2 linked regions of the Caenorhabditis elegans genome follow. The protein of the gene in region 2 interacts with the protein of the main gene of each other region in a biochemical or structural test. Each region holds a gene or a part of one and is shown on either strand. Other genes may lie near its edges.

What was found. The genes of interacting proteins can lie anywhere in the genome.
Region 1: of the proteins of npr-4 (region 2) and flp-14, one has a biochemical effect on the other in vitro, tested with the Caenorhabditis elegans proteins (one study listed by BioGRID).

What each region holds. Positions count from the first base shown.
Region 1 is NC_003281.10:12,908,554-12,916,098, reverse strand, and holds flp-14 (KHEYLRF-amide 4), read right to left. Parts: upstream 5,590-7,545; 5' UTR 5,588-5,589; coding exon 5,456-5,587; intron 4,506-5,455; coding exon 4,382-4,505; intron 2,666-4,381; coding exon 2,536-2,665; intron 1,405-2,535; coding exon 1,359-1,404; 3' UTR 1,169-1,358; downstream 1-1,168. Other genes in the region: Y37D8A.16 (MARVEL domain-containing protein), read left to right, coding at 671-802.
Region 2 is NC_003284.9:12,548,197-12,553,633, reverse strand, and holds the start of npr-4 (G-protein coupled receptors family 1 profile domain-containing protein), read left to right. Parts: upstream 1-1,956; 5' UTR 1,957-1,994; intron 1,995-2,044; 5' UTR 2,045-2,112; coding exon 2,113-2,177; intron 2,178-5,437.

The DNA of each region.
Region 1 (7,545 bases), on a different chromosome or scaffold from region 2:
CAATATCCGCCATAATTCGCCAACTTTCTCCAACTTTTGCCATTTTTTATAAAAATTTTGCCAGAAGTTGCCAACTTTCGCTAGCTTTTTCCAAACTTTCGCCGACTTTGCTAAACTTTGTCAGTGTTCTAAAAAAAACGGAGTTTTTCAATTTTGAGTTCTCTAACTAAATAATTTCCCATTTTAGAGGAGTTTCAAAATTGTGATTTTTTGCAATAAATTGTCCATTTTTGCCACTAATGGTTTTTGACGGGTTAAACCTAGATTTTCTGAATTGTCCATATACGATTTACCCGTTTTCAACAAATTTAGGCAACTTTTTATTTTTGCCCATTTTCATTTTTCTGCCATCTAACGGCTGTCCTTTTTTTTGGGGAAAAAAATAATTTTTCTGAAAATGTACAAATTAAAACCGCTACATTCTGAAAAAGGGCATTTTTTAAGTGTTCGGAGAGCAATGTTGAGTCCTCTAACTACAAAATTGCCCATTTTAGAAAAGTTTCAAAATCGTGCAATTTTTCAAAAACTTCTGTCAGCTTTTGCCAACTTTCGCAAACGTTTGCCTGCTTTTACCAAAAGTTACCAACTTTTGCCAAACTTTGCTAAATTTTGCCAAACTTCGCGAACTCTTGCCAAATTTAACAAACTTTTCAAAATTAATTTCTTACAGGCAATGGCTGGACTCAACGTTGGATGCTTCCTCGGCATCGCTGCCATTTTCGTTGCAAATCTTGTCAACGATAAGATTCTACAGCGCTCGCAAAAGTTCAATAAATACGATCGTGGAGTTTACGTGCAGTAATTCGGCAGAAGTCTTGGGATTTTTTATTGCTCATTTTCATGTAAATTTCTAATACGATCTACTTATATTTATTCTTTTTTTTTTGTTCCATTTATCTCGAAGGGATCTTATAATTGCGTTTTTGTTCATTTTTTGGAATTATTGACAAAAATTCTAATAAAAAATTTACCGTACATTTTAAAAAATTCGAAGTGTTTTTTTTTCTGAGCATTCCAGCAAAACTTGTCAAAAAATCCAGATTCCCAGAAATTTCTACAAGACCCAGAAGTTTGCTTTCTTTAAATCGTTTTTAAAGTGGTTCATCGTGAACCTTGTTTAATGTCGGTTGCGCACTTATCTTCCTCTGACTTCTAGAAAATAACTCTTAACCAACGACAAGATTTATTACAATTTCTTCTTTCGACAATGCTGAGAGGGAGAGAGAAAAGAGATAGAGAGAAAAATATAGAAAAAAAAATCTTTCAAAAAAAAATGGTGTACTGTAGTTCCGTCTTTTTCTTCTTTTATTTGTATGGTTTTCAAAGATGTTTCTTCGATGATAGTAGATATTCCCTTCTTATTTGCGTCCGAAACGCAAGTATTCGTGCTTTCTCTTTCCGAATCTGAAAAAAATAGGGGAAATTTGATGGAACACAATTTCCTTTAGAGACATCGTGTGACATTTGATTTAGAAACAAACAAAAAGAACACCGAATTTGAGTCGAAAATTCAATTTTTGAAGTTTAATAGTGTTACGGAAAAGTGCGAAGATCAGAGCTTGTTCTCTCCGTTAAATTGTGCTCGAAAAATCACGGATTTCTGGCTTCCCTCATAAATTGAAATGGAAGAGTTTGCCAAACTAGGCCATTTTGGCTCGGTCATAGCTGGGGTAGATTTACGGCGCATTGCGTGTCGCGTCGCGGCTTGATTTTAGTTGTAAATCTAAATCACTTGTCCGTGTGGAGTACACGACTTTCCCACGCGTTGTCCGGCAGGCGATTGTCAATGGAGCGCGAAAAATGCAATGAGGAAGGCCTGAACCCCGTGAAAGTGGGAAAAAAAATTCGCGCATAAAATTCGATGCACAGACATCATATTTTACGCGCAAGTTTGTTACACGATTTTTCAGCCACAAATACAGGTCTCGACGCGACAAATTTTTCGTTAAATTCGAAAAGGTGTGCGACTTTGATTTTCATCGATTTTTCAAAGTTTTTCTATCATTTCCTCGAGAATTTGTCCGTATTATTTTTGTGTAAATAAATAATATTTTGCAGGACACTACAGTAATCTTTATAGGCTTTTGAATTCCTTCTGTATTAAAAAAAAACAAGCAAATTCGTGTAGAGACCTGAGAAGTATTACGGTGACGCAAAAATGACAATTTTTCGAAAAAAAAGTGCAATTGCGCTCCAAACGCTGCCATAATTTGGGTCTCGTTAAGAAAATTGGTTCCAAAAATTTCCTGGGTGTATTCATTTGTACGTTGGAGCGTATTTGCCCCCATCTAACAGTTGCAGCTTTTTGCGGCGCCATAATAACATCTGCCTACTACTGCCTGCCTATTGCCTGCTTATTGTCTTCCTACTCCCTGTCTGCCTACTGCCTGCCTACTGATTGCCTACTGCCTGTCTATTCCCTGCCTGCCTATTGCCTGCTTATTGTCTACCTACTCTCTGTCTGCCTACTGCCTGCCTACACCCTGCCTACTGTCTTCCTACTGCCTGCCTTACAACTAAAAAAAAATCACAAACCTCAAGTACTCGTGCTTCCTTTTTCCAAATCTGAGATACTCGTGCTTTCTCTTTCCGAATCGGAGGTATTCGTGCTTGCGCTTCTCCATGTCATTGTCTCCCTCGTTGGTCTCCTCCTCGAGAGCCAATCCTGCAACAACGTTTCCCATTGGGATCAGACCTCAAAGCAAGAGCACAACCATCATTAAGAATTTAAAAAGAATTTGGCGCTTTACATTTTAAAAGTCAGGGGCTTTTTCAAGAAAATGGCGGAACGTGATTGATAGTCTAGGCTTTCGGCTGGGTCACCGGAGGCTTATTTGATGCAGAGAAAATGAAGTTTGACTCATGCAGCTGGCAAATCGGATGTCTACTGTCTGCCTGCCTACTGCCTAGTTCCTGCCTACTGCCTAGTTTCTGCTTTCAGCCTACCTACTGCCTACCTACCAGGCCTGCCGGATTTTCTGCTTTTTTTTTTGAAATAATTTTGCTTTAAAAAAACCGAAAAATCGAAAAAACAAATTTCGGCGGCGCCCCTGTTTCCTACTTCTGCATACTGCCTGCTACTGCCTACTTACTGTCTGCCTACTGCCTGCTGCCTGCCTGCCTACTGCCAATTTTCGTTTTTCAGATTCCAATTTTACGGTATTTCCATTTTTCGGTTTTGCTAAGACAGAAAACCAAAAAAACTGGATAAGGCACCCCTGCTGCCTACTGCCTGTCTACTACCTGCCTACTGCCTACCTACTGCCTACCTACCAGGCCTGCCGGATTTTCGGTGTTTTTTAAAGAAAAAATTCGTTTTTCGGTTTTGCTAAAAAAAAACCAAAGGGAAAAAACTGGCAAAGGCACCCCTTCTGCCAACTGCTTGCCTACTGCTTGCCTACTGCCTACCTACAGCCTGCATACTACCTGCCTACTGCATGCCTACTGCCTACTGTCTACCTACTAGGCTTGCCGGTTTTCCTGTTTTCCGGTTTTGCTAAGACAGAAAACCAAATAAACTGGCATAGGCACCCCTGCTACCTACTGCCTGCCTACTGCCTGCCTACTGCCTGCCTGCTGCCAACTTTCGTTTTTCAGATTCCCATTTTACGGTTTTTCGATTTTTCGATTTTGCTATAAAACAACCAAAAAAAAACTGGCATAGGCACCCCTGCTGCCTACTGCCTGTCTACTGCCTGCTTACTGCCTACCTAGTATTTGCCTACTACCTGCCTACTGCATGCCTACTGCCTAGTTCCTGCCTTCAGCCTACCTACTGCCTACCTGGCCTGCCGGATTTTCTGTTTTTTTTTTTTTAATTTTCGTTTTTCGGTTTTGCTAAAAAAAAAACAGAAAAATCGAAAAAACAAATTTCGGCGGTGCCTCTGTTTCCTACTACCCGCCTACTGCCTTCCTACTGCCTGCCTGCTGCCTGCCGGATTTTCGGTTTATTTGAAAAAATTGTTGTTTTTCTGTTATGCTCAAAAAACCAAAAAAACCTGGCATAGGCACCTCTGCTGCCTACTGCCTGTCTACTGCCTGCCTACTATCTACCTACTATCTGCCTACTGCCTGCCTACTGCCAACTTTCGTTTTTCAGACTCCAATTTTACGGTATTCCGATTTTTCGGTTTTGCCCAAAAAAACCGAAAAACCTGGCAAAGGCACCCCTTCTGCCTACTGCCTGCCGACTGCCTACCTACTGCCTGCCTATTGCCTACCTACCAGGGCTGCCGGATCTTCGGTTTTTTTTTAAATTTTTTGTTTTTCTGTTATGCTCAAAAACAACCGAAAAATCGAAAAAAAAATTTTCGGCGGTGCCCCTGTTTCCTACTGCCTGCCTCTTGCCTGCCTACTGCCTACCTACTACCTGCCTACTTACCGTGAGTCTGAACGAGACGTTCAACTCCCTCCGAAACGAGAGCTCCGAGCTGAGCAAGAAGCATGCTGCTCTCGCTTAATTGGCACAAAAGCGCCTCTTGTTGATCGCCGTTGTTGGCCAGAATCTGGAAAATGTGTTTTTTTACAGTAGTACGTTTTTCAAACCCAGTGATTATTCCGGAACAAAATCCTTGGGAAAAGCACGAAAATTACATGGTTTCAAAAAAAAAACCAACCGGAAGCCTTGTAATTATAGGTTCAGATTTTTGTCGAGGACTACGGTGAGATGAAGCCCGTATTTGACAGCTCATATCTCGGCTATCTTTAGCTTTATCAAAAAGTTGTTAACTAGAAAAATATAGGTTTTTTCTTTTTCTGCAACTTTATAGTTTAAAAAATTTTGCTATCTATAAAATGAACCGAGTTATGATCTACCAAAGTGGAGTTCTAAAAAAACTTTGATCTACTACTTTCCAACCCCACAAAAAAACACATTCAAATCAAACAGAGAATAGTATGATCAGGTTAGAATCATCTAGATTAACTATGAAAAAGAAAATAGATTTTTTTTCTATTCATCGCAAGTTGTTTAATCTTTATTGTGCATCCAATCCTCCCCCGAAAAATGAGCAGAAATTGTGATCTTATTAAGTTTACTACAACCGAAACGTCATGAGGATCAAAAGAATATCATATTTATCAAATTTTTTGTCCAGAAAATGTGACGGCAGCACGTTCTTAACCATGCGAAATCAGTTAAGAAGTCTGCGTCTAAGTTCCCGCGATTCTCGTAGATCTGCGTAGATCAAACCAATACACAGTAGTCATTAGTTTTCGCTGCGTGATATTTTGCGCGTCAAATATGTTGCGCAGTACGCATTCTCAGAATTTTGAGAACCATGGGATGTATGACGTCACGCAGGCCCTAACTTAGTTTTCGAAAAACTTTTCCAAAATGCACTAAACTATCTCATTATAACTTCCACTTGCAGTTTTGAAAAAAAAAACTTTTTTAAACCCAATTATAAACATGACTTTAAACTTCTTAGAACAAAATGGTTTTTTTTTGACTCACCGCTTGACAATCCTTCGGATTGTGTGGAGCCTGTGCGGCTCCAGAAGCTCCGGCTCCAGCCGGTGCCTCCTGGCCACTGGCGGCCACGACGAACGCGGAGAGCAGAAGCGCGGTGGGCAGGCAGATCATCATATGAAGAGAGCTCTCAGTTGGAGCCAGAGGAGACTTCAAAATGGGCGGAGCTCGGTGTTGAAAGTGAAATGTTGTGGGCGTGGCTTGGTAGAGCTCGAGGAGAAGAAAAAAAAATGAAACAAAATTCAAGAGTACGGTAGCACTAAAAATTTTACGAAAAAAAAAACAAATACTAATTAGCCGAGGGGATGGGGTCCCCGGATTAGCAGGATTTCGCTAAAATTTTCCGGGAAAATTGGAAAAGAGAAAACACCTCAAACATCTGAGAATCTGCCCCGGAAGTAATAAAAAATAAAAAAAACCAAAAAAAATGTATCGGAGGTTCCGTAAGGAGGCCCAGGGGCATATTGAGTTAAGTGACAGAGGAGGTCAATGTTTGAACAGAGCAGATGTATTGATAGGTCAGGCTAGGCAAGTCTAGGAGTCTAGTGAAGAGTAGGCAAGGCTAGGTGAGCCTAGGCTAGGTGAGGCTAGGCTAGGCTAGGCTAGGACAGACTAGGTTAGGTTAGGCTAGACTCGGTAAGAATAGGACAAATTAAGCTAGGCCAGGTTAGGCAGGCGATGGATAAGTTAGGTAAGGCTAGGCCAGGCTAGGCTAAGCTAGGCAGGGATAGGTGAGGGTAGGCTTGGCTAGGCTTGACTAGGTTTGGCTAGGCTTGGCTAGGCTTGGCAAGACTGGGAAGTTAGATTAAGCTAGGCCCGGCTAGGTAGACATAGGATAAGATAGGTAAGATAAGGTTGGACTAGGTTAGTTAAGGGTATACTAAGCTAGGCTAGGCTAGGCTAGGTGAGGCTAGACTAGGTAGGCGTAGGATACGTTATGTAAGGTTGGCTAGGCTAGGCAAGACTGGGATTCTAGGCAAGGTTAGCCAAGCTGGGAGTCTAGGCTAAAATATGCTTGGCTAGGCTGGGCTAGGCCAGCCTAGACCAGCCTAGACCAGCCTAGGCTTTGCTCAAACTATTCCCAAATTAAACGTTCAGAACAAAAAAGGAAGTATAGAACCATCGCTTAATGTTGTTTTCGTGCAATTCTCCACGTGGTGCTCCGTTTTTTTTTCTTCTAAAATTTGTGTGTGCTCGTTAAGTGTTTTCTTTTCTTTTTTCACTCGAAAGAGGCTGCTCTAATTGGTCTGACTTTGTGAAAAATTGTAACTTCCAGAACAAAATAACACATTTGTCTTTTTTTGAATTGCCGCATAGTGACATAACTTGGGTCTCGTTAGGTTTTTGGCGACAAAATCGTAAATTCAAACTTTTTTATATCTCCTGATTTCGTTAATTTTTCTAATTTTTTCAGTGTGTTTTAATGTTTTTTGTGACGAAAAAAATCAAAAAATCAAAAAATCGAAAAAAATCATTAAAAATAACGAATAATAGCTAAAACGACCAAATTCCTAATGAGACCCATTTTATGAAGACGGAGCGTTCCGAGAGAGTTGGGAACATCGGCCATGACCGCGACGGAGCTTCAAAAAATTTGCGGAAATGATGCACAGGCTTCTAGCCTTCCTCATCGATTTTTTCGCGCTCCATTGACAATCGGCCGCCGGGAAAGTCGTGTGAACTCCACACGGACATTTAGTTTTACAATCGAGCCGCGACGCGACACGCAACGCGCCGTAAATCTACCCCAGATATGGCCGAGCCAAAATGGCCTAGTTCGGCAAACTCTTCCATTTCAATTTATGAGGGAAGCCAGAAATCCGTGGCCTTGGCCGCGGCCTAGGTTCTCAGTAAACTCTGCCATTTCAAGATATGAGGGACTCTGAAAGCCCGTGAAGAAGGGCCAATTTTAGGTAGTAAATAGGCTTCTTAAGCCCACGCATTCTTCAAGAAAAGTCGTCAACAACATCAGGTCAGTTTCCCTCGGGCTTTTTGTACTTTCTTAACCTATTTATCTGCCTTTTTCTTGTTTTTGTTTTCTTTTTTCCCATTATTTTTTTTTCTAATTAACGCTC
Region 2 (5,437 bases):
TTTGAAAATTATGAGTTCTTGGTTTTTTCTGGAAACGTTTAGCAAAAAGAAAATTTAAATAAATGCACAATGTTTTTTTCGTTTTGCAGAAGACACATGAACTTCAAAAAAATTAAAAATTAATGTATCCTCTAAGGCAAGTAAGTTGACTCTAAAGTAAGTGAGGCACAAAGCACGCAAATTTTGATGAATTTATGGGAATTTGTGTTACCAAACGTAACCCGCAGTGTAACTTAGCCGAAATTTTTTTGCCGGAACACTTTCAGTTTTTGCAAAAAAATCAATCTCAAGTTACGATTGGAAAGTTTTTTAAACGAACAATTTTTGAAATTTTCGATGAGCTTTTTATCAAATCACAGCTGAAACAAAGCGGACTTTGTGAAGATTCATGTTTTTATTTATTAATGTAATACATACGAAAAAAAAAACAAAATTATAAATATCTGTGCAACAAGCCCACAAACTTTTCACTGACTTTGTTGTTTTTATGGATAATTCCAGTGTTTCTTACTAATTTATAAACGCTGATAAATAGTTATGTATTTTGAAAGCAGTCTCTGAAAAAAAACACGATATTAAATCAAAAAAATTTTACAAAAAAGCAAAAAGATTTGATATACATAACATTGTAACAGAATTTACGGCCTTTCCAACAAAACAAGTTTCTGTTGTCTTATAAAAATTATTCCAAAGATCTGGGAAAGTTCATTCAATATCCCCAGCGCTCATTACCATTTTCTTACGCATCGCACTTGGTCTCCGAACCTTCATTGCATTCACCTGAATCTTAGATAGCAAATGACGAAATCAGCCCAATCCTCCAATCATCCAATCGCAGACTTGAATAATCAACGCAACATTTGCACATCCTTAGAGGTCATCCCCGCATGACTCTATCATCCTTTTCTCCGAACCTTTTTTCCTCCGCTCTCCGCCCTCCATTCTTCTTTTTCCTGGCTTCAATCCCTTTTTTTACAACCAAATGGACCCTCTAAGACAATTGAGCAACGCCTGCGGAAGAAGGGCAAGCCAATCTGCAGTCGGTTGGTCCTTTTTTATTATTTACCTTACACTTGTTTCCGTTTTAATTGTTGCGATCTTTGTACAAGAAGAAAATCATGTTGGTTTTTGATGAAGTGAGTTCGGAGTTCGAATTGTTCTTTCAACTCCAAAAATCGAAGCACTTTTGTTTTATATTTTCGGTTTCACAGTATAACAAAAATTTGTTTGTAGAGTCATGTTTAGATTAGTATATAAAAATGTTAAATTCCACAAATTTGATTGAAAAACAAAAGTAGTGATTATTGTTTGTGTATTTCTCGAAACTTATTTTTCCAATTGTAAGGAAATATGAAATCAACTAATTCTATGGATAACATATAATTTAGTTTTAATTTGAAAAATAAAATAATGTTGTAGAACTTTAATGTAGTACACATTGAAAAAAAATAGGTTTGGCGGTAAAGCTTTCTAGTTCACCCATCTTCAAGTAATGCAAAATTGAAGTTTTCTTACCTGTTCTAGTTGGTTTTGAAATTCTCCTTAAACAAATTAAAGATAATTTTATTCAATTAAAAAATATTTTCCAGTATTTGACTTTTCACCAAAGTTAAAACAACTTGAAAAAAAGTTCAAGGTGTTTTCACATGTTCTAGTCTAGACTAGTTTCTTCAAAAGTGAAAAGACTTACAAAGGCAAAAATCCTTTGTCATTGTAATCCTCCGCCATAAAATTTTGTTTGTTTTTTTCTAAGAATCTGAAAATTAACTTTTCCGCCTGTCTTGCTCCATTTTTCTCATTCCAACTCGATTAGTTTATTGCATTAGTGCAGAATGTACAAACGTTTCTGAAAACAAACGCTTTTGGTGCCAGATGTTGAGGATAATATTAATCTTTTCTCACAATTTCTTCTTGTCCATTCTTTCTTTGAATTTATCTAAATACAATTTGTTTCAGCCCAGCTTGCCTTGGCACCAGGCTCTCATTTAATCACGGTAAGCCTCTCGGTCACTGTAAACTATATAACCAATCGTTTGATTTTCAGATATCAACACAAAGTTTACGGAGAATTGCAACTGAAAAGTTGTTAGGTGAAGACACATATACAGAACAATGTTACTGGAAATTGGCACAATAACAATCGGGAATATAACCCGAGCAAGAAAGTTTGGAGAAAGGTAAGTTCCTGAAAATGGAAAATGGGTCCCCCTCCGCATTTCAAATGAGGTGTCTATTAGTTTCTGGGAAAGTTGAAAGAGAAACCCTCCCACAACTCAAGTGTTAAAGTTCTAAGCCCAAATTCAGACACTTGTGAATATTAGATTATTGCCTATTTTGACGAGCTATGGTAAAAAAAACAACACTAATTTCGAGTGAAAACTCCAAAATTGTGGTGCACTTGTCACACCATCACTCATTCTCTGACAAATCTCGATTGTGTTTTTGAGCCAACCAGCTCTTATTCGTCGCCGTCAAAACTTTCTTAAATTGAAATCACATCTCGAAACCTTCTTCCGTTTTGCATAAAATTGAATTTAGTTCAACAAGTTTAAAATGCCACCCCTTTTCTAGAAAACAAATGATGACGTTTTCCACGTTTCTCAGTTGAGAACGAGTCATGCGACTTTCAATTGGTGAAGTTCTTTTTTTTTTCTTCTGAATTGGTGTTTTTCCATTACCAAAAAAAAAAGGGTTTTTGATCTTTAGATCAACATTCTCAATTTTTCGGTGCCAATCAAGATTCTTGGTGCATTGCGTTAGACAATACTGAATTGCAGCTAATCATGTAAAACAAGAAACAAATCATTGGCAAAATTGAGAAATTGTACCCAGTAAAACTAAAAAATATGGATCAAAGGGTGGTGTGAGTTTGTTGGGTGTTTTTCGCAGATCAATGGCAATTCGTTTGTGATTTTGAAAAAAATCGCTACAATTGTGAACATTGCTCTTTTTGACTTTTTGCTAACGATTTTACAATAGCTCAAATGTTGAACTTTTACTTTTCAAGATTCTTATAGTAAGACTTTTCTTGAACGATTTAATCTAGATTTTTTGGATCCAAAAACAGTATTCCTCTTACTCGTTGTACTTTTTGGCACTTCATTCTCCTACGGACCAACCACTTCATCTTTGCAACTTTTCGCTGACCTAAGATAATCAAATTCCTTAGAAGGAAGGAAAACTTTGAAACTTTCTCCCGCTCTCTCGAGTTTTTTATACCACCCACCTATAGTTCCTCTCTGTCTCTCTCTCCGTACTCATTTCATTAATGACGTTTTAAAATAGAGCCGCTAAAGAATTGATCTTATATATTAGGAGAGAAACGCATAGTGTTCGATCTTTGATGCTCAAAGCTCAAAATGTTAAAAATGCCAGCATGGTGTTATTATAATGTATCTGAAATACAAAATTAGAAGGTATCTGCAGAAATGCTGACGTGAAATGTGGGAAGGGGAAAGAGGAAAAAAGTTTTTACGATTGGTTGTGAGTAGGCGGAAAGATATGTTGTACAGCCAGTGGGGACATGATTAAAACCGTTTAATATTGCAAAAATGATAAAATATTATGATAAACTTTTCAAAAGCTATTGAAATTTTTTTTTACTCCGAGTCAAGATTTCAAAAATTTCATTTTGATATTTGGTAATTTTAGCACCACTATTGTAATGGTTTTCAATTATTTTTCACCTACCGTACTACAGCTTTAAGATTGTCACAGCACTCCGCTTTTTCTTTTGTTTCCTTTGAACCTGCTGAAGAACATGATTTTTTTTCCAAAATCTTTAATAATTTGCAATATTACCGTATACATATTTCCTGGTTGTTACGGACCTCAAAAATAATTTTCAGTTTATATAATTGTGATGTGCTTTTGTTTTGAAAACACCACATTGTCTAGCCCATTTGCTTTTTTTAAATGAATTTTTTATGAATTATGAAAACTACTTCCACTTAAAAAATCAGTGGTTCTGGGAAAATAACCATTTATTTCATTCCGTCTTCTTGTTTTTTTGACCGCGATGAACAAATACAAAATGAGAACATTAAAAGAAAACCAAAGTCACGAGACAACGTAGGCACCCAATTGTCTCGTAATTTATGAAAACACCAGTCACCAACCTAGAAGTACACCTTTTAGCCGGTCCCGATGAGGAAAACAATGAACAAAGGTTGAAGTTTTGCTATATGCATGTTTGACGCAGTCTGGCTTGTCCGGAACAAGATGTGCAATAGATTCGAGCTTTTGCGAATATTTTGGAAGAAATAGTAAATGGCCCGATATATCTAGATGAGACTTGGACGGAGGAGTAAAGTGGAAATTCGTTTACTTCATTCTATTTTGTGCTTAAAGAAGATATTTATCTGAGAAGCGTTGGGAAATGCATTTAACGGAAAAAGCCTTTCACATTCAAATTTTAATTTTCGATTCCTTGGCCAAGTTCATGTTGCGCTGCGATAGGCTTAGTATAATATTTTCGGAAGTTATTTGCATGTTCAGCAGATTGCGTCACAAATGCCATTTGTCCGATCAATTGAGCTTATTTTTATGTTACTATTTGGGAGGGTTGAGTAAGAAAATGCTAACTAACATCGTTTTTTGTCTTTTGAGATTTGAGAAATTTCTTATTTGCTTTCTCATCATTCTTTGTATTCTCAAAAATGAATGTGAACCTTGGAAAACGCTTGTAAGTTTTTTTTGATTCTTGAAGAGTTGAAACTGGGCAATTTTTCAAATTTATAGTAACTCGCAATGTTTTGAGAAATTTTCAATTTTCGGTTCTTTTTGAATATTACACATTCTACGTATTAGTTTCAATTTTCAAAATTGTTTAAAACGTTCATAATACACATTTCTCCCTAGAAAGAATGTTTAATTATTTTGTAAAGGTTCTCCCCAATTGATCACAAAAACATGTTGCGCATTCTGCTCAACTTGAATGCTTGTATCAATTATGAATGATGGTTTAATTTGAGTATTCACGCGCAAAAAACGTGAATCATGTTTTGCAATTTCTCACGTATGTAATATGTATTACCCCATCCCACCCAATATATACAGCCTCCGGAAACACATCCTCTTTTCTCATAAGCTTATCGTAGTTTTTTCTCATCACATTGGGACATGTTGTTTTCTTTTCTGATTTTATATTTGGTTTATAGTCTCAGGTTGCGTAAAAATTTGATGAGTGACTTATGTACTTCGAAAAAGAACCTGGAAGCTAAATATGTACATTTTAAGTTCTTCTTAGCCTACAGGTTTTGACGAGAATGCTCGCTCATTATCGCTTTTTTTCAATATTTAATCAGTTTGAAACAGCAGAATTTTGATCGCTAAAAATTATAAGCTTATCGAACAAAAACAGATAATCTGAGAGGATATTAGAGGATATATTTAAAATTGAGAATCGTGTAAAACTTCCTATCGGCAAAAATATATT